Linked DNA regions of Mus musculus: region 1 is reported to be linked to region 2. Evidence: microRNA targets listed by miRTarBase, many of them from high-throughput screens and not tested one by one. Region 2 holds a microRNA gene; the other region holds the end of a gene's coding sequence.

What was found. The annotated mature microRNA mmu-miR-1931 reads AUGCAAGGGCUGGUGCGAUGGC and lies in region 2 at 5,380-5,401, shown strand. An mRNA with a match to its seed (bases 2 to 7 or 8) in the 3' UTR can be bound and repressed. Matches are read on the target gene's strand: a 7mer-m8 pairs with bases 2 to 8, a 7mer-A1 pairs with bases 2 to 7 and ends in A, and an 8mer does both.
Region 1: miRTarBase lists Peg3 as a target of mmu-miR-1931. Seed matches in the 3' UTR shown: 7mer-A1 at 5,988-5,994.

The regions. Positions count from the first base shown.
Region 1 is chr7:6,700,685-6,712,929 of GRCm38, forward strand. It overlaps Peg3 (paternally expressed 3), which reads right to left. Exons shown (of 9, transcript NM_008817.2): 7 at 11,989-12,091; 8 at 11,167-11,259; 9 at 5,276-11,047. The coding sequence ends at 6,822. It also overlaps Peg3os. Among named protein-coding and RNA genes, the nearest start is that of Zim1, 10 kb to the left of the region's middle.
Region 2 is chr10:93,157,500-93,169,744 of GRCm38, forward strand. Mir1931 (microRNA 1931) reads left to right here and starts at 5,286; the gene lies at 5,286-5,404. It overlaps Cdk17 (cyclin-dependent kinase 17), which reads left to right and starts at 3,377. Exons shown (of 17, transcript NM_146239.2): 1 at 3,377-3,701.

The sequences.
Region 1 (12,245 bases), not on the chromosome of region 2:
GGCCAGACCACCCAGTGCTCTCAGAGACTAGACCACCAACCAAGGAGTGTGAGGGGAGGGATCTATGGATCCAGATATATATGTAGCAGAGAATGGCCTTGCCTGACATCATTGGGAGGGGAGGTCCTTGGTCCTGTGGAGGTTTGATGCCCCAGTGTAGGGGAATGCTGGAGCAGTGGAGCAGGAGAGGGTAGGTCAGTGGGGGAGCACCCTCATAGAGGCAAAGGGGAGGGAGAAGAGGGCAGATGTGGGATGGGGGGTTTGTGGAGGGATAATTGGGAAGTGGAATATCACTTGAAATGTAAACGAATGGGATGATTAATTAAAAAAAAAAAAGAGTGGCCTTGGTCATGGTGTCTTTTCACAGCAATAGAACCCTAAGACACTTACCTAATTAACTACTAGTGTCTTTTGATAATGACTGGACATTGGGAACCCATGAGCACACATCAGCTGATGCTAGAAAGACATCAGATCTCATGCAATAAATATGGTGGTAGGGAATAATTACCCCTTCAAATAAGGTGTTGGTAGGGGAAGAAAGAACTCCTTAGGAGTACAAGTATTGATCATGCGTTCTCAATGGACAACCATTTCATTTCTGTTCTCTATTACTTTTCATCAGGATACTCTTTAGAAAAATCTTGAAAAAGAATGGATCTCTTGACTTGACCCATGCTGAAATCCCTTGTTATAGGATGAGTAATCAAGGTCTGACCAGATGCTGTGATATCTTGAATTAGAATGGTCCCTACAGGCTTATATAGTTGAATGCCTAGTCATTGAGGAGTGACACTACATGAGAAAGAATAGGAGGCGTTGCCTTGTTGGAGTAGGTGTGTCCTCATTGGAGGAGGTGTGTCACTTGGGTTTAGACTTTGAGGTTTCAAAAGCCCATGCCAGGCCCAGTGTCTCCCTCTTCCTGCGGCTTGTGGGTTAAGATGTAGAACTCTCAGCTATTTCTCCAGCATCGTGTCTGCCACGTGCCACCGAGCTCCCTGTCATGACGATAATGGACTAATCTTCTGAAACTGTAAGCAAGCCCTAATTAAATGCTTTCTTTCATAAGAGTTGCCAAGGGCATGGTGTCTCTTCACAGCAACCAAGATTGGTACGAATGAGGCAACCACAATTCAATGAGACTTCATTTTAATGTGAACAAAGTTTTAGAACTATGAGAACATTCAGAACTCTGCAGAGTGACTGGAATTCAGAGACATTTGTACTCTTCTCTCTGTAGAGCAATGTGCACTCTGGTGGTTGAGCAGAAAAAGTGGAGTGACTTGGCCATCACTTTTGATAGTTATGGGATCAGAGATGAAGCAGCCATGGATTCATGTCGCATTTCCACTGAGGTCACCAGCAGGGATCTAGTTAGGTACTGAGCTTAAAATGTGTGGTCATTATTGTTAGGTTTCAAACCCTGGGACAAATGGCAGAGGTGCTTATTTAGCATATTAAAGTGGATGCTGCCAGGTTCTCTCAGCATCCCTTAGTCCCTACCAGTTACAGGGCCCTCCTGACGGGCATACCCCATTCCCCCGACCCTAAACTTCTCCAGCCCAGGGTCTTGGATGCCCTTCCCCCAGCCACCCTTCCCTATATAATCCAACCATTTTGCTTACCTGATTCTTTTTGTTTTCTCCCCTCCACCCCCTCCCTCCTGGTTGGTACTCTTGGTGTTCCTTTCTCCCTCTCTCTTCCTCTGCCACTCTCCCCCCACGTCCCAAGGTCATATCCACTCTGGACTCTCCCAAATGTCCTTGCCTCTTTCTATGCTCTCCCACATATCTATAATAAACTTTCTCTTCCACCATTACCTAGGAGCAGACATGAATTTCTCTCTCTCTCTTAATTTGGTGCTGAAATCCAGGACCGGTCATGTTCCATGTTCCTTCCCTTTATATTTCTTCTTTCTTTCCCATTCAATTATGAAGCTACAAGAATGCTTAATAATTACTTCTCAAAAGGTGGGGGAGGGGTAGCCCTATTGGTTTAATACTTGCCATTCAAACATGAGGACATGGGTTTAATACTCAGAACTCACATAAAAATCCAGGTGTGGTGGCACACACTTGTAATCCCAGCACTTGGCTACTGGTTGGGGAAGTAAGAGGAACCCTCCTGGCTGTTGTACCCTGCCCCCTACCCTAAACTTCCCCAGCCCCTACTGGACTGCCCTTTCCCTAGCTGCCCTTCTCTATATAATCCAACCATTTTGGATTGTGTGCTAGCATGGCTCCAGTGTGTGAATACATACTTATACACACACACACACATACACACACACACACAAATTACCTCTCATACATTAGTTATGATAACCAGATGAACTGTTATGTTCCCAGTGGTGAATCTGGGTTAAAATATAATAAATACTTTTAATCTTCTGCAGAAGTCTGGAATAAATGCCTCATTGTGATGCTAAGCCCTAATATTATTATCCTCATGGTAAGGATTCATGAACCCTCATTTTATGGAACCTCATATTTCTAATTAATAATATCCTATAAACTAACCAAAATATATTTGTGATTATAATAAAATCTAAAACCGCTACTAGGTAGTTATGATTTAGTAGGATTAAGTATGATTTAGTCTAAAAGGAGCAGTTAAAGCTAGGATTCAGGTAGAATCCACAGATCACTGAAAAATGATTGATGGAGTATACAATCTTTAATAATAATAATAATAATAATAATAATAATAATAATAATAATAATAATAATAATGCAAAGTGAAGAAATGGCTTCATGGGCAAAGCACTTATAACAGGGTCATTAAAATCTGAGTTTATATCTCAGAGCCCACATAAAGCCTGCAGCTGTTGCATGCTTCTGTAATCTTAACACTCTTATAGAAATCTTAACTTGCAAGACATCTATCCTGGGGGGTACATAGTGAACTGAAAAGGGCCTTCTCTCGAATGATGGGAAGGTGGGGCTGACACCTGAGGCTGTTATTTGACCTTCACACACACACTGGGACATGAGAGTCTATGTCTGTACTCACACACAAATATCCATTCACACGTGTACATACACACAAAGGCTTATTTTTTTAATTAAGAATATGATTTGAAGATCAAAAATTTGTATGGCTAAGGGGCCACTAACATTTTGGATGTATAATTTTATCAACAGTGACAAGTCCCTGCAAAGTTACCAACCCCAAACACATAAACAGGACAAAGGAAGAGACTGAGAATTATCTTATTTTTAACTTTATTTTTATTGATGACACTATTACAAGATAGACCAACTACAGCCATATTAACAAACCAAAAGCCTGTGCACAGAAACAAGACAAAGAAAACAAATGGAGATGTTAACACAGTCTTTGGGTAATGACAATATGGGTGAGTTTCTCTTCTACATTTGCACATCTTCAAGGCTACTAGAATGGTCACGTACTGCATATATAAGCAATACGGGCAGCCTGCTAGAACACTATGACAAAGAACCCTCAAAGAAACTGAGAAAATACAGCTCACTGTAATTCCGCCACAACTGCCCTGCCATTCCACACCTTTCCACATTTCTTCCTGCTGTTGACACTACGCACTTGTCATGGAAAACCTCACAATCACACCAGTGGGGCACAGATCCAGGCGTTACCAGAAGTTTGTTGGAAATACAGTTTTTCTCGACTTCACTTCAGTTTCCCAGTTTTCTTTGAGTATGCCTTATATTTGTGATGCAGAGTACATACGTAAAGTTTGTTACCCAAACACTGAAGATTATTCAAGAAATCTTAAACAAAACATTTAACCATGAACCCCCCCCCCAAAAAAACACTATTTTTAATTGTTTCCCACATTTCTGTTTGTTTTAGGCATTATGCAAATCTATTTAACACTGTTTTAATCACAAATTTGTGCAATGACATGAAATGAAGGACACAGATGAAGATCTTAACAGTTGTTGGGTATGGGGAGTGTGGGCAAAGTTTTCTGTTCAATTTTACTTATTTTCCAATTTTCACTGGGTACATAGTATGCTTATGGTGGTGATATTACATACTAAACTTTATTATCAGGCGACTATTACAAGGAACATAGGGAAACTTCAAAGTATTTTACCGTAATTACACAGGAAATACTAGAACAGCTATCTTGAATACACATTTTGACACAGTTGTAATATATAAGTCTGTGCACAGCAACAAGAATAAACAAGGTATTAAAGAGTATATCTATCTTTGGATGGTGGGGACATGGGTTATCTTTCTCCACTTCTCTGTTATTTTCCAAGTGTTTCATAAAGAGTTCCAATTATGCTCACAATGGAAATATGATTCTTAACTTTTGAATAACACTACCATAAAGAACATTCTAGAAATTTAAGAAAATAATGCTTGACTATAAGCCTACAACAACACAATAGCTTTTGACTATAAGCGTACATTTTAAAACAGTTATAAGTGTAGTACAAATATGATTTTGTGTCCTGCTTTCTCCATCTCATACTTGGAGAATATCTACTTCACAACTCTCTGTGGTTATCACTATTGAACAACTGCATAAGAATCCAGGGCACTTTGATTAAATTACTCTTCCATAGTCTGGCACTTTAATTGTTCCTGATCTACTCACTTGGTTACAGTTAGAATGGACACTCAACTCAGACTTCTTGATGAGTCACTTTCTGAAAAGGGTCTAGTGGGGGTGACACTGTCTGTCACTGATACCGAGTCCCCACATTTACCCAGATGGCTATGACACTGACTTCCATTTCAAGGGAGCCTCACCAGTGAATCATTGCCCCTCTGTTTCTCTGGATGTCAGTTCCAACCTGGGGCTCTCTCTATGCAGCTGGTCTTCACCTACACGAAGCCATCCAAAAGGCCTTTCTTCCAACTCTCCAGGACACTTCTTTCTAATTTGTTTTTACCACCCTGACCTTCCAATCCCTGCTGCTGGTATCTTCTTTAGTCTGTCTGGTCTCCTTCCTAGATCTGCTGTCATCTTGGAACTCCCTTCTTTGGCTCACTCATTTCTATTTCTTGCCTTTAGGTCTCCAACCTCTGAAGACTTTGGCATTCACTGAGGCTCTGGCACACTCCCTCATGAGCCCCGGATCTACAGATCTAGAAGTCTGAGAGTCAGACCGCTTTCTCCAGCAGGTAAACTCTGTTCACGTTCTCAGATGATCTGTACTTATCTTGCGATCTTTCGGCTACAGATCCGCTTTATTTTTTTTAATTTTTTAAATTTTTAAATTTTTTTTTCCCCAGCCAACTGAAGGCCAAAAAATTGTCTTTCTATAGCCATGAGGGGAGGGGAAGTAAAGGAGCGCACGCAGTCCGTGTATCGGACGCAGAAAATCTCAAGCTGGGAAGTCAGTTTGTGACATCAGGTGACATGGAGACAGATGGCACACTAAATGGAAAGCTCAGAAATACTAAGGAGACTCCATGAGAAAGAACGATGGTAACAAAAAAACTTAAGGCTGCTGGGGAACCTGAGTCCATGTTAAGTAAGCTAGGATTAACTATAAAGAAAGCTTTGTGTGTGTGTGTGTATGTGTGTGTGTGTGTTTGCTTTTCTTAAAATGCGATAGACTTGGGGTTGACAGACACATAGAGAACAGGGGAATTAAGTCTGGAGACACAAAGATCTAAGGATTCTAGCTCCTGGGCACCCAGGGAGCACACTGACTTGTGGCAAGCACAATACAACACCACACAGGTGACTCAAGCGACGCTGCCACTTGTCACTTAAGGCAGGAAGCACACAGCAGCTAATGAAAGGTTGTCAGTTTGCTTCCTTATTTACAATGTAAGAGCCTCTCCTGTGGTTCCCAACCTTTCATTAGGCACTACTGTGATCTAGCGATGGTTGTCACCCACTCTTTAAAGGCAAAGACATTAAGATTTACAGGGAAAAGCTTCAGGTTTCATGAATTCACTATCAAACACACGATGAGTTGGTTAGAAAACAAAAACCCAAACCTTAAAGAACACCTCAAATGTAACATTTTTTTTTTTTGCAAGAAAACCACTGTAAGGTATATAAATGTAGGGATGGGTTGATTTGGGTCACAGAGACAAATCCATATATTGTAAAGGGTTACACAATCAGTCTCAAGGGGTCTGGGTGCACACCAAATGGCTGTAGAAGCTAAAATGCCTGTTTCCACACAGCCAGGATTCAAAGACACACGATCTTTCACACCCACACCTTCACAGGACTATCTAAGAGGTAGGGGACAGAACACTCCATTACTGGAAAGGATACTAATGGGGTTCAAATGATGCACAGAAAAGCTTCTGCATGGACAATACTTACAAATATATGCTAAATTGTTGCTCTCTTCCTCCTCAGGGAAAAAATCAGAGTACCAGGCTAGGTAGCTCTGTAGAGTAAACTGTAAATTCTATAGCACACTAAATCCAAATATATGTATCACTGATTTGCTCATTTATATACATGGCAGGAATCATTATGTATAGGGTATGAAAGGGGTATCATTTACAGTCGACTGGGGCAACCTCTGTGGTCTGGAATTGTCACTAGGTTTTCCCTCAATCTAGTTACTTAGATGAAATGGAAGATGTAGATGTTCACTCTAGCTTTCCCAAATATACACTGATGTTCCATAGGGAACAGCTAAAACTGAAAGAGTCCCTGCGTTCAATGTCTTTTCTTTTTTCAGTCTGTGATGAGAGTGAAAGTCTTTGATGTGAAGTCCGGTATGTATACAGGAAGGTGAATTTCTTATAGACATTATGGGTTGGTTTAGGCTCTCTTTGTGATTTATTAAGGGTCTGGTTCTGGGAAGAAGGTTTGGCTTTGCTCTTCTTTTCTTCAGCCTGGTTACTCAACCAGTGTGAGAATTCTGGTGTCTGGCAAGGGAGAGGCGGTCGTTGAAGAGTTGCCCGCACACATCACATTTGAAGTACTTGTCGTCTGCCTGCTCCGCACCACCTGCACTGGTGCTGGCCCGTTCAATGTAGCCAGAGCACTCTCCAGGAGCATTGGCCGGCTCGAAGATGATCACACTGGCGTGACTTTTCAGATGCTCGCCAAAGGCTGAGCTGGAAGCGAACGTTTCTGCGCATTCATGACAGTTGTAGTATGGTTCTTCAACCTCAATCTCTTGATCTTCTCCTTCCTCTTCTGGGTCTTCAATGTCTGCACCATCGGGCTCATCTGCATCTCCCTCTGGCTCTTCGACGTCTTCCTCAGGCTCGTCAGCTCTCTCTTCTGGGTCTTCGATCCCGGCTCCGTCTGGCTCGTCAGCATCACCGTTTGGCTGTTCAGCCTCTCCATTGGGCTGCTCAGCCTCGCCATCAGGCTCAGCAGCTTCTCCATCTGGCCCTTCAGCCTCTCCATTAGGCTCTGCAGCCTCCACCTCAGGCTCTGCAGCCTCCACCTCGGGCTCTGCAGCCTCCACTTCGGGCTCAGCAGCTTCTGCATTTGACCCCTGGATTCGCAGTACTTCTTGTGGGATGAGGACATTGGCTTCGACCTCTTGGGCAGTGGCAGCTACTATTTCTGACCCACCTTCTCGCTCAGGATGAAACACCATGCGCTCAGCGATGACAGTGTCGTCTAGGAAGGACTGGCCGCAATCTTTGCATTCGTACAGTGGGATGTGCTTCCTGAGGGGCTCGGTGAGAAAGGAGGCATGGGTGTAGGAGGGCCCATACTCATAGGGCTCATCCTTGTGAACTTTGGTGTGGTGGTCCCCGAGCTGTTTGGCAGTGAAGAAGCATTCCCCACAGATTGTGCACTCGAAAAGCTTCTCTTCTGTTTCACTCCCCTGATACTCAGTGAGGGCTAGGCCTTGAATGAAAATCTCATCTGAAAGCTCACTCTGTTCCATTATTTCATTATCTCTGTGCTGTCTCATGTGCTCATTTAGGGCAGAACTGTGAATGAAGCCTTGTCCACACTGACGGCATCGAATGGCTGACCCAGAAACGGCAGGATTCCTTTCAACAGTGCAATTTCTCCTTGGTCTCACGGGCAACAGAGCGATGAAAGCGTCATCACAGGCCTTTACGGAATACAGCTGGTCTTGTTCGTGAACTCTCTGGTGCTCGAAAAGTAACGAGCTGTGAATGAAAGACTCCCCACATTTTGGACATTCATATAGTTTCTCTCCAGAGCATTTTTTCTCAAATTCGCTGACGGAGTGGGCATGAACTTCAGAATGTGCATATTCACGACTGTCAACCAGAGCCTTTCTGCTATGGGTGTCCTGGTGGCTTGTGAGGTCATTGAGATCAGTAAAGCCCAGCCCACAGTCCTGGCATTCATAGATTGCATCACCAGCGTCATCTTTCTGATGCTCTTCAGAAACTGAGGCCTGAATGGTAGCATCTTCAACTTTCTCCTGGCCATGGGACTCTTCACCATGGGGCTCATCACCATGAGACTCTTCACTGTGGGGCTCTTCACTGCGCATCTCCTGATCAATGGGTTCCTTGTCATGGGGCTCATCACCGTGGGGCTCCTGGCCATGGGGCTCATCACCGTGGGGCTCCTGGCCATGGGGCTTATCATCATGGGGCTCCTGGCCATGGGGCTTATCATCATGGGGCTCCTGGCCATGGGGCTTATCATCATGGGGCTCTTCACTGCGCATCTCCTGATCAAGGGGTTCTTTGTCCTGGGGCTCATCACCATGGGGCTCCTTGCCACTGGGCTCCTTACCATATGGCTCTTTGTCATGAATTTTTTGACCATGAGTTTCTTTATCATGGGGCTCCTCGGCATTAAATGTCTCTTGGGCATAGATTTTCTGTACACTGAGGTTGTTGCTGGTAGTTGAGCGTTGTCCAAACGCTCTGAATTTACGCACTTGTTCTTGGATGAAACGTTCTTGGGCATAACTGGTCTGAGGGTCACTGGGCGCAAGGCTGCGGATGACAGAGCGCTCATAATGTCGGCTTCCAGAAGGTCTTTCTCTATCATGAATCTTCTGGTGCTCAATGAGCTCAGACCTACGAGCAAAGGCCTCCCCGCATTCCTGACACTCAAAGAACTTTGCCCTACGGTGACCTGCAAGCAACTCACCAAAAGGTAGGGAGTGGATAACAGAGGTCTCGTTGTTCCTGGGCTCAATGTACTTCTTTTTGGCACGAGCTTTCTGGTGTTCACGAACACTTGAGCTGGGAACTGAAAACGTGACATCCTGCTTAGAGTCATGGGACTCTCCAGAAAGACTTGGAGGCTCAGCACGGGATACATTTGGTGTGTGGTAGTTGCTGCTGCTACTTCCTTCATAAGCATCTTCTCTGGCAGGAATCTTCCTTCCCTTATTAATAATATCTGGGATATAAATGGAGGATTCTCCCCCCTCATCACATTGAATATGGTCATTTGCTCTATGACGTTTCAGAGGTCGAGGAGCTGGCAAGCTATGGATGATAGAGTCCTTGTATTCTTTTCCTTCATAGGTGTTGCCTCCAGAGTGTGCTCTGGGGTAGTAAATGCTGCTTGAGCTCTGGGTGCTAGACTCTGCCACTGGTCTTGGTTTACTGAACCCCAGTCCACCATGACTCTTCTGAGCTTCTGCGGAGCCCAAGCTATGAATAACAGACCTCTCATAGGATTTGCCCTGGGAGCCATTTTCCATGATGGGGAATTTCAGCTTGTCATTAGGGTTGACACTGATGGTGAACGGCTTGTCATCGTCTTTGTTTTCAGGTGGTCTTGTTATAGTATGACTCTTCTGAGATTCAACGAAGGGTTTCTCAAATCCTCTGCCCTCAAAGAAGTTCCTTCGGGAACGGTTTTTCTGATGCTCGCTGGAGTCTGAGTTTCCCATCAGTGCATCCCTGGCATTGTTAAAGTCGAACAGCTTCTCTCTGTAAGTTTTCTGGCGCCGTCGGAGAGACTGACTAGGGACAAAGGTCTCCTCGCACATCCTGCTCTTATTTTCAAATGGGTTTCCTCTAGTATGGATTTTCTGATGCTCCCTCAGGGATGAGAGATGAAGAAAGCTCTCCCCACACACTTTGCACTCATAGATTTTGTCTTTCCTGTACATCTTCCGAAACTCATTGAAGTTTGGACAGGTCAGAAAGGGTTCCCCAAGCTCACGCTCACGCTCCCGTTCACGTTCGCGCTCACGCTGCTCTCGTGCACGTGCACGTAGACGATCACGTTCGCGTTCACGCTCATTATCTCTGTCATCTGAGTTGCCTCTACCATGGATTTTCTGGTGCTCAATCAGGGCGGAACTGTGCAGAAAGGTCTCCTTGCACACCTTGCACTCATAGAACTTATCTTTGCCATACATCTTCTGCAGCTCACTAAAGGTCGGGCTAGGCATGATGGTCTCCTCATCCTCCTGATCTCTACATTCTGCAAGATATTCTCTAGCATGGATTTGGCGGTGCTCTGCCAGGGCAGCACTCCTACTGAAGGTTTCTCCACATTCCTTACACTCAAAGCGTTTCCCCCCACCCTGACCTTTTTGCACCTCATTGACAGCCACGCTATGAATAAAGGACTCTCCATATTCATAGAGGTTCTCCCTAGTGTGCATGATCTGGTGCTCAACAAACTCAGAGATGACACTGAACTGCCTCCCGCACTCATCACACACGTATGGGTTGGCCCCAAAATCGATTGACTGCGACTCAGAGAAGGAAGGGCTGTTCAGGTTGCCCATGCTCATAGCCTGTCTCATCTCAGCACCACACTCAAAAGGCTTCTTCCTCACACAGCTTTTATGCTCATGGCCCGAACCCCGCTCATCAGAATCAAAGTGGTAACGCCTCTTCCTTTCTAGAGCTCTGCTTCTGGAAGCCAGGTCTGCGTTGAACCGGAAGCCGCCCCTAAATGCGCTCCCTTCATAACCCCTCTCCTGGATCACTGACTCTCTTCTGCTGGAGGAACTGTCCTTCCAGTTATCATTAGGCCTGGGGAACCTTGGAGGAGGACGCTCGTTCAGCTCCCTTGCTCTTCCGGATTTGGGGTTGCGAGCCACATCCTTGATGAATTTTTCCATTATCACTCCATGAGAAGACTCGTCCTCACAGATCCCACGCCTGTGGGATGGCTTTTTGGCCTCAGGCATGGGTTTGAGACCTGGAAAGAAACCCCCATATGTAATTCCCTAGTCTCTAAGTTCGGGATAGCATTTTCCTTTGGTGTTTATGAATGTGAAATATGGATTTTTCTCCATGTGGGATCGGCTTGTCACTCACCTCGGCTGGTGCTTGGGTAGGCAGTTCTCTTGGACCTCGATGAGTGGCCTTGTGTCATGTGAGAGTGTCGGTCATCTTCGGCAAGCTGGACTCCTATAGTTATAAGAACAAAATGGCAGTTGCAATTTACATCGAAGACTGAGACTCATCACCATCAATTGATCTGTTACCCCACCCACAGTAAAATAAGAACTATCTCATATTCAAATCTTGGGATGTCTTTCATTTTCTTGATATGCATTTTCTAACCTGATATAATCTACATTTTGATTCCCTTAGTTTAATCACACCCCCAAAAAATGGTATAAAGACTCCTGTTCACTTCTTTGAGAGACTCCATTCTTTCTTGAGGGTCTCACTATGTAGGTGTCCCAGAATGGCCTCACCTGGTGATCCTCCTGTTTTAGCACAGAGCACTGGAGTTCCAGGCATGTGCCATTGTACTCCTACCCCTACTTGTCAATGATCTTTCTCAACTTACTGTCCAGCACCATGTATCCCTTGGCTTTATGAGTTTTCACAGCAACTGCCTACGACCACTTTAGGCTGTGTGCATCTGGAGGAGTCCACATGTGGAGCTGAGGTTGTATAGGAAAGCTCTATGACAAAGTCCATAACCCCAGTCTATACAATATATTCTTCAACCAAAGCCAGATGGATTTTCTTGAAAACTCAAACCTCATTTCCCCACAGAGGAGCAAGTTCACCAAAGGCCTTCTAAGTCCAAATAGACTAGCATGGATTCAAACAACTTGAAACAAACAAGGTAAGCAAAGGCTCCGCTGGAGGGATTGGAAGTGGCCCAGGGAAGTAGGTCTTTACCCAGCGAGAGCAGCTTTCTGTAGTTCTCCAGGTTGTCCTGAATTGGATTCTGAGGCTTCTTGTCCTCTTTGAGTTCCACAACATTCTGGTATGACTCGGCATCCTAAAACATCAAACACAGGCCCCTCAATGGAATCTATTCCCGTGGATGTTCAAAGAGAGAATAATGTTGGCGACATGGGAGCTACGTATATGAAGTTATATAGGAAGTGCTCACGGTATTTGGGGTTCTGAGCGATCCAAGGCAAGTGTTACTA
Region 2 (12,245 bases):
GCCCACTTCTGATTTTTTCTAAATTGAGTATCAGTTTAGGTAAGGGGAGGAAATAGAATGCAGGGAGGACAAACTATCTGATCTCTCCTTAGTCTCAGTACAGGCCTGCCGGGAGCCCTCCGTAAAGCCAGGAGCCAAACATCTCTAAAGTATGTTGTTGGTAACTAAAGAACAATTTCATTTCTGCCTCATTTTATCCCATGTTCAATGACTTTTGACTGTCTCCCCAGTATTTTCATGTATGCCCCATGGACACTGCTTCTCTGTGGTCAAAGCAGCTTGGCTTACATTAGCCTTACTGGAAAGAAAATTATTTTTGATCTCAGAACCTCTCCCTGCTTTCCGTATATAAATGTGCACTGTGGCATTCCAGAAGAGGCAAATGTGGCATTTTCCAAGTGGATCTGAACTTGGAATTCTTCCCACATCTCTCTCTCCTTCACCAAGTTGCAGGGAGATTAAAAAAAACAAAAAACAAAAAACCAGCAAAACATATTTAACTACAGTTTGGAAAACATTCAGAGTTAAAAAAAATATTCCAGGTTTTAAATTATTTTACAAAGCTGGGTATAGTAGCACAGGCCTTTAATCCCAGCACTTGGGAGGCAGAGGCAAAGGCAGCTGGCTCTCTGTGAATTTGAGGTCAGCCTAGTCTACATAGTGAGTTCTAGGACAGCCAGAGCTACAGAATAGAGAGGTCTCAAATAAATGAGAGAGAGAGAGAGAAGAAGGAAGAGGAGGAGGAGGAGGAGGAGGAGGAGGAGGAGGAGGAGAAGGAAGAAGAAGAAGAAGGAGGAGGAGGAGAAGGAGGAGGAGGAGGAGGAGGAGGAGGAGGAGGAGGAGGAGAAGAAGAAGAAGAAGAAGAAGAAGAAGAAGAAGAAGAAGAAGAAGAAGAAGAAGAAGAAGAAGAAGAAGAAGAAGAATGAAAACAAAACAAGCTGGGCGTGGTGGTGCACGCCTTTAATCCCTGCACTCCCAGCACTCAGGAGGCAGAGGCAGGCGGATTTCTGAGTTCGAGGCCAGCCTGATCTACAGAGTGAGTTCCAGGACAGCCAGGGCTACACAGAGAAACCCTGTCTTGAAACAAACAAACAAACAAACAAAAACACACAACAAACAAACAAACAAACAAGAAAAACAACAACAAAAAAGAAAAACAAAACAAAATCAAACAAACAAAAAAACCCCAAATATAAATAATCCCTAACAACTTCATACTAAGTGAAAAGGTCTGTCAGCATTTTCTGGCCTCTGCTCATCTTCCTGTTTCCCTCATCGTAGACACCTGAAGCATCCTGCCACCTCCTTCCTCAATCTCATTACCATGGCTGTTTGATTTTGTTTGTCTCTCCTGTCTCTGCATTAACCCATTGGTTCCTTAAGTGATCTGTGCGTATATTGCTCATTTCCACTGACAGAGTTCAAGGGCAAATCTATCTTCACCTCTGAGTCTTTAAGGTCTAACATGGTACCTGGTCCAAACGATGCAGTTAGCAATTTTTTGTTTTTAAGTGAAAGAACAAATAGATCAAGCAATAACCACCTCGATTCTAAGGATCAAATTACGACTACGGTGCTATACCAGAGGAAATATTTCTTGGGAATTTTGGCCAAGGCAGAATTATCTTTGGTTTCTAATGGGCTAATTCCAGTCCAGTGATGTGAAGGAAGAATTTCAGATGCAGAAACTCAGGGTGCAATTATGTAGATTCCCTTTTTTACTATTTTGAATATTTACTAAGAGAACAACAACAACAACACCCCCACACAATTGCTTTTGAATATAAGGCAAGCATGTGAAAATGTTTGGTATAAAAGTAGGTCATGTGTAACATATATTTTTCTTTAACTTACAAAGAACTCTGAAATGATGCTAGCTCCTAACATATTATAAAATTGCCTGAATTAGACATATATTAAAAAAATCATTAACTGCTGTTCAAAAGTACACACTCATTCTTGAAGGGAAGTATAAATATGGACATTTTTATAGGGTAAACAAGTGTTGAAGTCTTTGTAGAGGATAATTATTGTTAACCTATAGTTCTGGTAATTTTGGAGACACAGGAGAACTCCGGTTGATATATATGAACCTTATGAGCTGTAGAAAACACATCCAGCTGTGTCCGACAAAGTTCTAGACAGAAGGGCAGGAAGTATCTTCAAGGAAAGGCGCATCAATCAGAAAAGATACGATTCAGAAGTCCTTAGTAGATAATGAGATTTAAAATATATCGTGCACTTCCTGGTGATAAGAACAGAAAAACAAAACATAACAACAACAACAACAAAAAACCCCAACCTTCACCCTACTGGCCTTTTATACCGTTAACCTTTTCTTGGTTAGGGTGTCCACATCCGGACCCTACTGTCTTCTTTCAGTTCTCTCAGTATTTTCCTCTGCCACTTAAGTCTGCTTTTACTTTAAGCTTCTATCCCTACTTGTGGAAAGAAATGGGCCAGGATCACTTTAGTTTGTCTACACATTCAGTTGTTCCTAACTGGGGAAGAAGAAAGTAAAAAGATTTACAGAAACTGGGCCAACCTCTTTGGCCTGCCTCCTTCAAGCAACAGAATCTAACTCACTGCAACAGTATCTCTTTCTGGGTCCTATAACTTAGCATTGACTCTTTCACAACACAGTTTTATTGTAACCATTTTAGTTCCCCCCTCCACCCTCCCCCCCCAGCCTAGAGCCAACAGTGTAATAACATTTAAAAACACTGTGGTTGAAATCAAAGCTTTGTGCGTGGGTGATTACTGCACTGGCCACGCATATCCAGTCACAGAACAGAAGAAAATTGCAGCAATCGACCGAGGTATTTCTTTGTGGGTCATCTGAAGCACTGTACTGAGGCAGGCATCCTGTGTACAGTAGCGCCTGGAATACTTCAAGCAGAGTTTTATTGTTGCGAGGGGACAGTGAGGGGCTGATTTGTGGCGATCGGTTCCTCACCAATCGCGATGGTCAGACACTGTTCAGCGTTCTGTCCACGGACAGGGTCTCCCTTGCTCTCCAGCCGCGTTTGAAGCCACGCTTGAAGTTTCCTGGGAATACCCCCCAGCCCCGCCCAGACCACGCCCCAGTCATAAGCCCCACCCCCAGGCAAGGCTCCGCCCCGCATGCCGCCGTCGCCGCCACCGCCGGCAGGGGTCGCGCTGCCCCAGGCGAGCCGTGCAGGCGGGGGTGGGGAAGCTCCCGCAGCCGGTCGCTTTTCTCCGCCGCCGCTGGTTGGATCGTTTCAATAAAAGTCTTTTTTTTTTTTTTTTCCTTTTTTCTTTTCTTTTTTTTTTTCTAACCCCCGCTCTCGCTCGCTCCGGGGAACAGGCGGAGGCGTCAAGCCGCAGCCTCCGAGCGAGAGAAAGCAACGCGCACTCAGACGAACGAGAGCGGCGGCTGCGGTCTACCCAGCGCCCGGCAGTCCGGCAGCCCGCGCCCCGCCGCCTCGCTCCGCCCCGGCTCGGTGGCCGGGAGTACTGGGCCGTCCGCGAGGCTCCGCGGCCCGGGAGCCATGTTGAGCGGGGGGCTCTGCCACGCGTGAGGCGGCCGGCGGCCCTCGCGGAGCGGAAGGCGCGAGGTTGGGGGGTGGGGGGAGGCCTGAGCCTGAGGCGCCTCGGCGCGTCCGCCACCACCGGACCTGCATCCGCTCGCTCGCTCTGCGCGCCCGCCGGTCCGGAGCCCGCGGTCCCCGCACTTGCTGGTGAGTTGGCAGCGGGGCTGGGCAGGGATCGTGACGCCTGTCAGCGGGCGGCTCGAGTGGGGATCTTGTCGGTCGCATGTCCACGCGCGGCGTGGGCTGCGGGAGTGCGGAGCTGGTTGGGGGACCTGGGGGGAGGGGCTCCATGCGCCGCCGCTGAGAGTTCGCAGCCGATCGAGGCTTCCTGGGGAGGCTGCTGGCCCCGTGGGGCGCCGGGAGGGGAAGAGGCGGAAAGTCCCCCCGAGACACAAAGGTCCCCGGGGCCGGGGTGGAGGCGCGGGCGCGGGGCGGCGGGAGTGGGCGAGGACGCGGCGCTGCGGGCTCCTTGGAGACGCGGGAGGCTGCGCGCGGGTGGGTGGGCAGCTCCGCGGGGGAGGAGCCCTCTCGTGGGGGAGCGGGTCGACACAAAGCTCCGGGCAGCCCTCTTGCTGGCGGGTCACACCCCTGAGTGTCGCTCCAACCGGAGGCGGAGGGACTGTGGGAAACCCAGAGAACCCGGGAAGAGGGGGTTGTGTGTGTGTGTGTTCCACCGTTGTCTTAGCCGCAGTTGCTTTTCTCGGTGTTTTTGTCCGGTTGCTTCTGCTCCCCATCTCAGCTGGGTGGCCCCAGTTTTCTTCCCCACATCACCCCCACGCTGCCACCTCGCCGTCCCCTGTGGTTCCCCACTCATTCTCTCCCCTACTTTTCACCCACTCCTTCTGGGGTAAGCGGTATTTTGCCTTCAGCTAGGGGAACGTTTGCTAATGACAGGATGCCTGACTTGGTCTGACCCTGAACTGCCTTGAACTCTTCTCTTTTTTTTTTTTTTCCTCCCACCCTTTCCTTTCTGGGATCTTCTGTGTCACATGGCCATTAACAATTAGCTTTTCTTCTTCAAAAATGGCAAAAGCCTTTAGCTGAAATCCGTGGCGCCTTTCCCTTATGTTAATGTGGCCATCGAAGACGACGCATCAGTGGCCCTGTTTTATCGCCTCCTGAGCCAAATTGATTCTCTAGACACAAGTCACAAATTTTGTTTTGCGTCTTGGCCATTCCTTGGGCCAGCAAAGTGTATTTCTGGTAGCAGAGCTTCTGTCACGTCACAGGCAATGCTTGACTAAGGGAGACAGCTCTTGCCTCCCAACTTTGCTGTTTGTTTTTTCCTAATCCTTTGTTGGGTTTCTTTTTAACTGCATTTGTGCAAGACTATCAAAGTAATGGATTTGAGTGACTTGGAAATTGACGTTGTTAACCACGGAACAGAAGACGACCTCTGATCAGTTGAATTGACCTAAACCTTTGAATCAAGAAACATGTGTAAACTAAATTTAAGGAGGAAAAAAAAATTGCTAGTGGGAATGTTAATTGGTTTTATTTTGTTCTCTTGTGAACACCAGGAATTGGCTTATGTATTAAATGTGGTGTCACCTGGTTAATGAAGTCATTTCAGTTTTTTTTTTTTGTTCTTTTAACATCTGCATAATTCCATAAACAGCGGGTTTAAACAAAAGAAAACAATATGACTAAGGACGTCTTTCATTTTAATTTTTATTTCTAATGTTGTGAGTGAACACAGGAATGTGAAGAGCGCTGTTCTTTTATCTGGCGAGCCATCTCCTAGGCCAGAAGCATTAACTCTTTGAATGCTGCTCGTCAAAGATCTGTTGCAGAGCCTTTGAATTGAAGCTGCTTTAAAATTCCAATGCAAGGGCTGGTGCGATGGCTCAGTGGGTAGGAGCGCCCGACTGCTCTTCCAAAGGTCCAGAGTTCAAATCCCAGCAACCACATGGTGGCTCACAACCATCCGTAACAAGATCTGACTCCCTCTTCCGGTGTGTCTGAAGACAGCTACAGTGTACTTGCATATAATAAATAAATAAATCTTTACAAAAAAAAAAAAAATTCCAATGCAAGTGCCAGCAAGATGGCTCAGTTGGTACGGGTGCCCGTCTCAGGGCCTGAGTTCAATCCTGGGAACACATGCAAAGACGGAGGCAAGAACAGCACAACGTTGTCCTCTGATTTCCACATGCATACACCACACACATCACGAACATCATCACCACCACCACCAACAACAATTGATTCATAATAAATAATAACAACAATAATATGTATTTTAAAGTTCTTATGCAAACATAGGAGTTTCAACTATTTTTACAGTGGAAATAAGAATGCTAATGAAAATATGAATAAGAAGAAAGTCAAAGTAAGATCCATTTATTGTAGGTGCAGTAATGTTAGTGCTGCTGTAAAGATATTCATATCCTACAATGTGCTGTCCTTATTGACACTAAAATTTTAGATATTTCAGCTAGGGATTAGTCTGCATTTTCAACTTCCTCTTTCCCAGTCAATGTTTTAGAGACTTTTGTGAAATTACAGGTCACTTTATAGTAATTGATGCTTAATAAATGTATCAAAACTGTGAATATTTTTTCTCCACACTTATTAGTACCTACTTAGATAATAAAAATTTGTGTCACTTCAAGAAAGTGTATGCCCAATAAGTGTTTCTGGATTGTGGGTCGTTTATTTTTTACCTCTATTTTTCTAAATTTTCATATTACTTTTGCAGTCAGAAAAAAAATGTAGAATTAGAGTCTTGTTAATATCGTAGTTTTTGCATTCCTAAAATAGGGTTTTGTCAAATATGTAGTTTATTCCCTTTTTTGGGTTCAGGCCCAAGGAAGTAACTTTTAGTGTTAACTGTATGACACAGTGTAATCTGTCCTGTACGAGTTGGTTATCAAAAGAGCAGAAGAGATATGTGCACAGTAAGGAAAGATGAAATTGGAGGCCTTAATTCAGAGTGTGGTAGCATTAATGATGCTAATGGCTTCAATTGGTTCTACAAAAACTAGAAGACAGAAAATCGTGTCCTGTTCTGTAGCTTACACCTGTGGTGACTACAAGCCCTGTTGACTACAGGGATTTTAAGGTATGTTTTGATACATTTAGTTTTCAGATATTGTGTGGTCCTGCAATTGTGATGGGAAGGCGTGGGGTATAAGATTATTTGCTTGGCTCTGGCAAGGCTTGTTCTCAACCCTCAACTCCCAGCAAAACTGTTTCCTTTTCCTTCCTTGGTGAAATGGAGCTACAGACTGAAGAGCAGTGGGGTACCTTATTGTGACCAGCACAGAGAAGGATTGTGGCAACCCAGGAGGCTGTTCCAAAGGGGAGACCGGGATGCCTTCTGATACTACTAAAAAGCTGTCTGAACACAGCATTTCTTTGCCTGTTTCCTTTGTTATTGTCTCATAGTAGGCATTTTATTGTTGTTCTTTGTATAATTACAACTTCACGTTCTGACATTCTTCTACATGGGTTTTCTACTTCCAGAGTGGATAATTACTGAATAAGTGTATTTCTCTGATGGTGGAGAAAGGCCATTATATGTTAAACTCTACTTACAGAAATAGTCTCTAGGCTATTTTAGAAACAATCTCTCCTTTTGTGCATGCAAAGGAAGAGTAATTTTGGATTATTTCGAATTTAAAGAGTATTTTTGCTCAAGCTTTTTAATATTGTATTTGAATTATTTTTATAAAACGATTATGACATTTTTAATTTTTAGTGCTGATGTAATGGTATTTAAAATGTGTTTTCCATAGTACTTGTAAATGCTAGAAGACTCATTCCATAGCTCACTAGCAAATTCAACCTGTAATGTTGCCAGTTTCTTTGAACTATTTGGAGAGAGGACTGATTTGACGGGCTTTTAAGGATTCTTCTTGTCTTTATGGCTTTGTTACCCTTTTGCTCACAGTATAATCACTTGGTGTTTAGTTTCGTGTGTGTGTGTGTGTGTGTGTGTGTGTGTGTGTGTGTGTGTGTGTGTGCGTGCACGAGTGCGTGTGTTTACTTTTAACATCTGTAAAATATTGACCTGGAAAAAGGAATTGTGAAGAGCCTGAAAAAAACTGTTTTGGGCATAACTTTCTCACTCTGCCATGTTTTGCTCTCTCTGCTGGCCAACTTGGAAAATCAATAAACATTAAGAGTAAATCTAATGTTTTATGGTCCACAGTAACGTGCCATCCTAAACACTTGTTTTTAGGAGGTTGATTTACAGATCAGATCCACAGTGTGTCAGGATAGCTTGCCTAGCAGAGGGCACAATTAATATTTAATTACTTTTTTTCCTTGTAGTTCATACTGTATACTGAATGATTGCATGGCCCCACAAATTCATGTGTTGAGACCCATAACCTACTGGTTAAATGGTTTGGAGCTAGGCTTGAGGGAGCTAATTTGGATTTAGTGAAAATGATTTTATTTTCCAAAGAATCTTCAAAAACACTCTTTGATAAACCTTATCTTAGTCCACTTCATCTTCCGTAACAAAACATCACTCATTGAGTGGCTTTTTAAAACAGCTTTTTCCTCCCTGTTCTGGATTCCTGAAGTCTGAGGTCACAGTGCCAAACCGGTTAAATTTTGGTGAGGGCTCTCTTCTTTGTTTGTAGATGCCTGTCTCAACTGTGGTTTTCTGGCCTTTTGTTTGGTGCCTGCAGGTGGAGAGGGAGGATGAGAGAAAAAATGGGAGGGGGTGCTGGGGGGGGGTAGAGGAAGAAAACATGGGCTAGAGGGTTTTCTTCTTATAACTACTATTATAAAGGCCTGCCCTCTGGACCTTGCTTAAATCTAGTCAGATCGCCCAGATCACCTCCAAAAACCATTGTACCCGTAGGTGAGAGTCTCAACACGCGAATCTGAAGCCACTCAAATGTTCAGTGTTTAACGGAAGCTGTGAGAAAGATCCTCAGTTGTGCCTGGTGCTGTGCTAGACTCTATTGTTTTGTTAAATCCTCACAGGAAACCTATTGTATTGGGTAAACCTTTTTTTCCTAATAAGGAAGCAGAGGTCTTAGGTTAGGTAATTTCCCCCAGGGTCCCACCACTATAGTGACCCAAGATCCAGTTAACATTCAAAAATGCCGTGCTCATAGTGTCTCTACCAGGATGCAATGCTGAACAGCTTGCTGGCTAACATAGAAGCCGCGCTAAGTCAGAGGAAAGCACAGGCAGTGTGTGTGCAAGATTGTCCCACAGTCCTCCCCACCCTGGCTTCTTTCACGGAGGTTTTAAGTACATTTGCTTTCTTTCCAAAATGTCTGTGTTCGTTCACGTTGATTTTACATGTCTTAGAAGTTTTGACTTTCTATCATTTAAATGATAATGCTTTCATTATGTGAGCGTATGCCATCTGTGTTGGCCAGCTTTATACTCCTGGGACAGAGGAGTGTTTCCTAAGGGGAAAAGTCACCCTTCAGGAGGAGGCCGTTGTTTTGACACTTGTTTCAGAGGTTTCGGTGGTTATTTGGCTCCCTGGTTTCTGGGCCTGTGGTCAGACAGAACATCATGGTGAGGAACGTGCATGTGGTAGAGCAAAGCAGATCCGCTTGCTCCTGTTGTCAGGGGAGCAAAGGGAGGCGGGAGGTGGAGCCTGGGATGGATTGTATCCCTCATGCTCATGTCTTCCAGGACCTGCTTGCCTTACCTAGACCTTCCTCCTGAAGTTTCCACTGCCTCCCAACCTCTCTCTAGGTTATTAATTTATAAATACCTTAATCTATCTGTGAGATCAATGCCTTCATGATCCAGTCACCTTCCAGACAGTCCACTGTCTGAAACCCTGTGGCATTGAGACTGCTTTTAACCCTTGAACTCCTGGGAATATTTGGGAGCCAATCCATGATACCATCAAAGTGAAAACTTCAACAAATACACACACCACCTATTGTTTTGTTTCGTTTTATCTTGATATAACTTACTGTAAGCAAGGTAGAAACTTTGCATATGTTTAATCAGATACCCACTGAGAATAGAATGATAATATTTTTCATGTTGAAAATTGATCTTTAGGATAGAAAAAAAATCTATAAATTAGTATTGTTAGCATACATTTCGTACTCAATTTAAAGAACAGAAAATATTATTTCCTGAAAGGTGTTTAATTAAGGTGAAAAGGAATCCCCCCCCCCATAAAGGCTAATACTGAGAATCATTTAGCTGGTCATACTGGCACATACTTGCAGTCCCAGTGCTGAGGAGGGTGAGGCAGGAGGATTACAAACAACTTTAAAGCCATTCTGAGCTATACAGTGAGATTCTGTCTCAAAATTTTTTTCCCTCCCTCCCTCCCTCCCTCCCTCCCTCCCTCCCTCCCTCCCCCTCTCTCTCTCTTTCTTTCCTTTCTCTTTCTGTTTCAGAGATTCTCTCAATTGAACCTGAGTTAATGTTTTCACCTAGACTGTCCGGGCAGTAGACTGAGCACCCTGCCCTGTCTGCACAGTCTCCAGCACTGGCCTGTAGACATGGGCACGATGCACAGCTCTTCTTGTGGGTTCTAGAAACCTGAACTCAGAGCCTCGTGCTTAGGGAAGCCGTTGGTGACAGATCTGTCTCTCCAGCCCCCTGTCTTTTCATAGCGTGTTTTGTTTTGTCTTTCATTTTATGTACTTGTTACTATATGTTCAAGAATTTTCAGTTTTCTATGTGTGTAAATAATGAAGAAAATATTCGAAGGTATCTTTTCACTGTCCCCTAGATTATGTGGTCATTTTGTTTTTCTCAAAGCATATTTTTAATGCTGCAGTATTTTTCATTGATGGCTGACAGTTGTTTTTAGCACATATTATTGTTCACTAATACAAATAAAGGTTGATAAGAGCTATATATTTGTGAGAAATTTCCAACTCACAAACGAAACTGAGACAATTCTTTTTTAAATAATGTGGGGTTTTTCATGTTTGTTGTTGTTGTTTTTTTTTTGTTTTGTTTTGTTGTTTTGTTTTTTTTTTTGTTTGTTTTTTTTGTTTTTTTTTTAGGGGCCAGAAAAGTGGCAGCGTTGATTAGAGCTAGCCGGCTTTCAGCGATGAAGAACTATGGGTGTTGATATTATAATCCTGGGAGACGTGGAGAGAACTTCTCACTTTTGAGGCCAAAATGCCATTTCCTCTGACATCTTCCTTATTCTGGTCTGACAGGGTTGTGGCCATTATGTTATTTGGAACGTTTATGTCTACTGTAGTGCTGACTTCATTCTGCTGTAGGGGATGTTTAAGTCTCTCTCCTTCCTGCTCTGTTTTCCTTTTCTGTGATCTCATCTACACACTCAGTTCAGCTCAGTGGAGTAGGGGACTAGGGAGCACCGCCTTGATACATTGTTCAGTTCAATGGACTGGGGGTTGGGAAGAGACTAGGGAATACCACAGTGATACATTGTTCAGTTCAGTGGACTGGGAAGACTTGCCGGGGTGGGGGTGGGATTACTAGGTACTATCACAGTGATAAGTTGTTTAGTTCAGTGGACTGGGGGACTAGGTAACGCCACACTGGGATAGTAAAATACCATCAGAGTTGTTGGCCTAGAAACAAAGAATAATTTCAGGTTTTGAATATTGGAGAATACCATGTTGGCAGTGTTTGTGTGAGAGTAATCTAGAAACCGGTTCTAGGCCAACTTAGAGGGATAGTAATTTGGCATTTTGAGACTTTAATTGCATGTAAGCTGTACTGACTTGTTAGAGAAAATGAAGAGAAAAGGCTTGTGGCTCTCAAAAAATGGTTGTCTTTTAGACAAACTAGAAATACAAAACTGACATATTTCTACATAAAATATTTCTAAAGGTCTAAAAACAGTGGTCAGTACTAGTAATTTTGTTTAACTGAAAACCTTTGATTTCTGATGAGAACTAGTTTGTTAGCTGTGTATACAGTGCCAGGCTTGAATGCACTTACGATGTACAGAGTTGTGTCGCAGGATTGAACAAGGCTTTAATATTGTTCCTGCAACAGATATATTTGTTTTCCAATATAATTAAATTAAAAAGCATTCTACTTTTAAAATTAAGGACTATTAAAGCTGAATCTTAAATTATACCTTTGTTGGTGTAGGTCTGTTATAATTAATACATTTATTTTATAAAGCAATGGTTATAGTCTGGTAACATCTTGATAAAAATGTAACATTTAAAAGTAAACTTACACAGTTTATGAGATTTAGAGCTTTTTAAATATCTGAACTTATTATATAGCCTTGATTCATTAATATTTCTGTCATTTTTTTTAGGTCAAAATTATTACATGTATTACTTCAAAAATAATGGAGTGAGCACTGTATTTGGTAATATAATAGAGATCTGACCTGTTCAGGTTAATCAGTGATTTATAAGGACAAAAGAATCAAAATAGTATGGGATTTCTAAACTATTCATACCTCTTGGGTTTTTCTAAAATGCCTCCCTGCTCTTGCCCAGTGTGAAAATCACGCTGGATGTATGTATGTGTGTGTGTGTGTGTGTGTGTGTGTGTGTGTGTGTGTGTGTGTGTGTGTAATATAGGACTAAGTCATCTAGTATACTCATTGTTGTTTCTCCTCCTTCCACCCTTCCCCCTCCCTCTCTATGTATCCCTCCCTCCCTCTCTATGTATCCCTCCCTCCCTCCCTCCCTCCCTCCCTCCCTCCCTCCCTTCCTTCCTTCCTTCCTTCCTTCTTTCCTTCCTTCAAGACAAGGTTTCTCTGTGTAGCCCTGGCTCTCCTAGAACTCTGCAGACCAG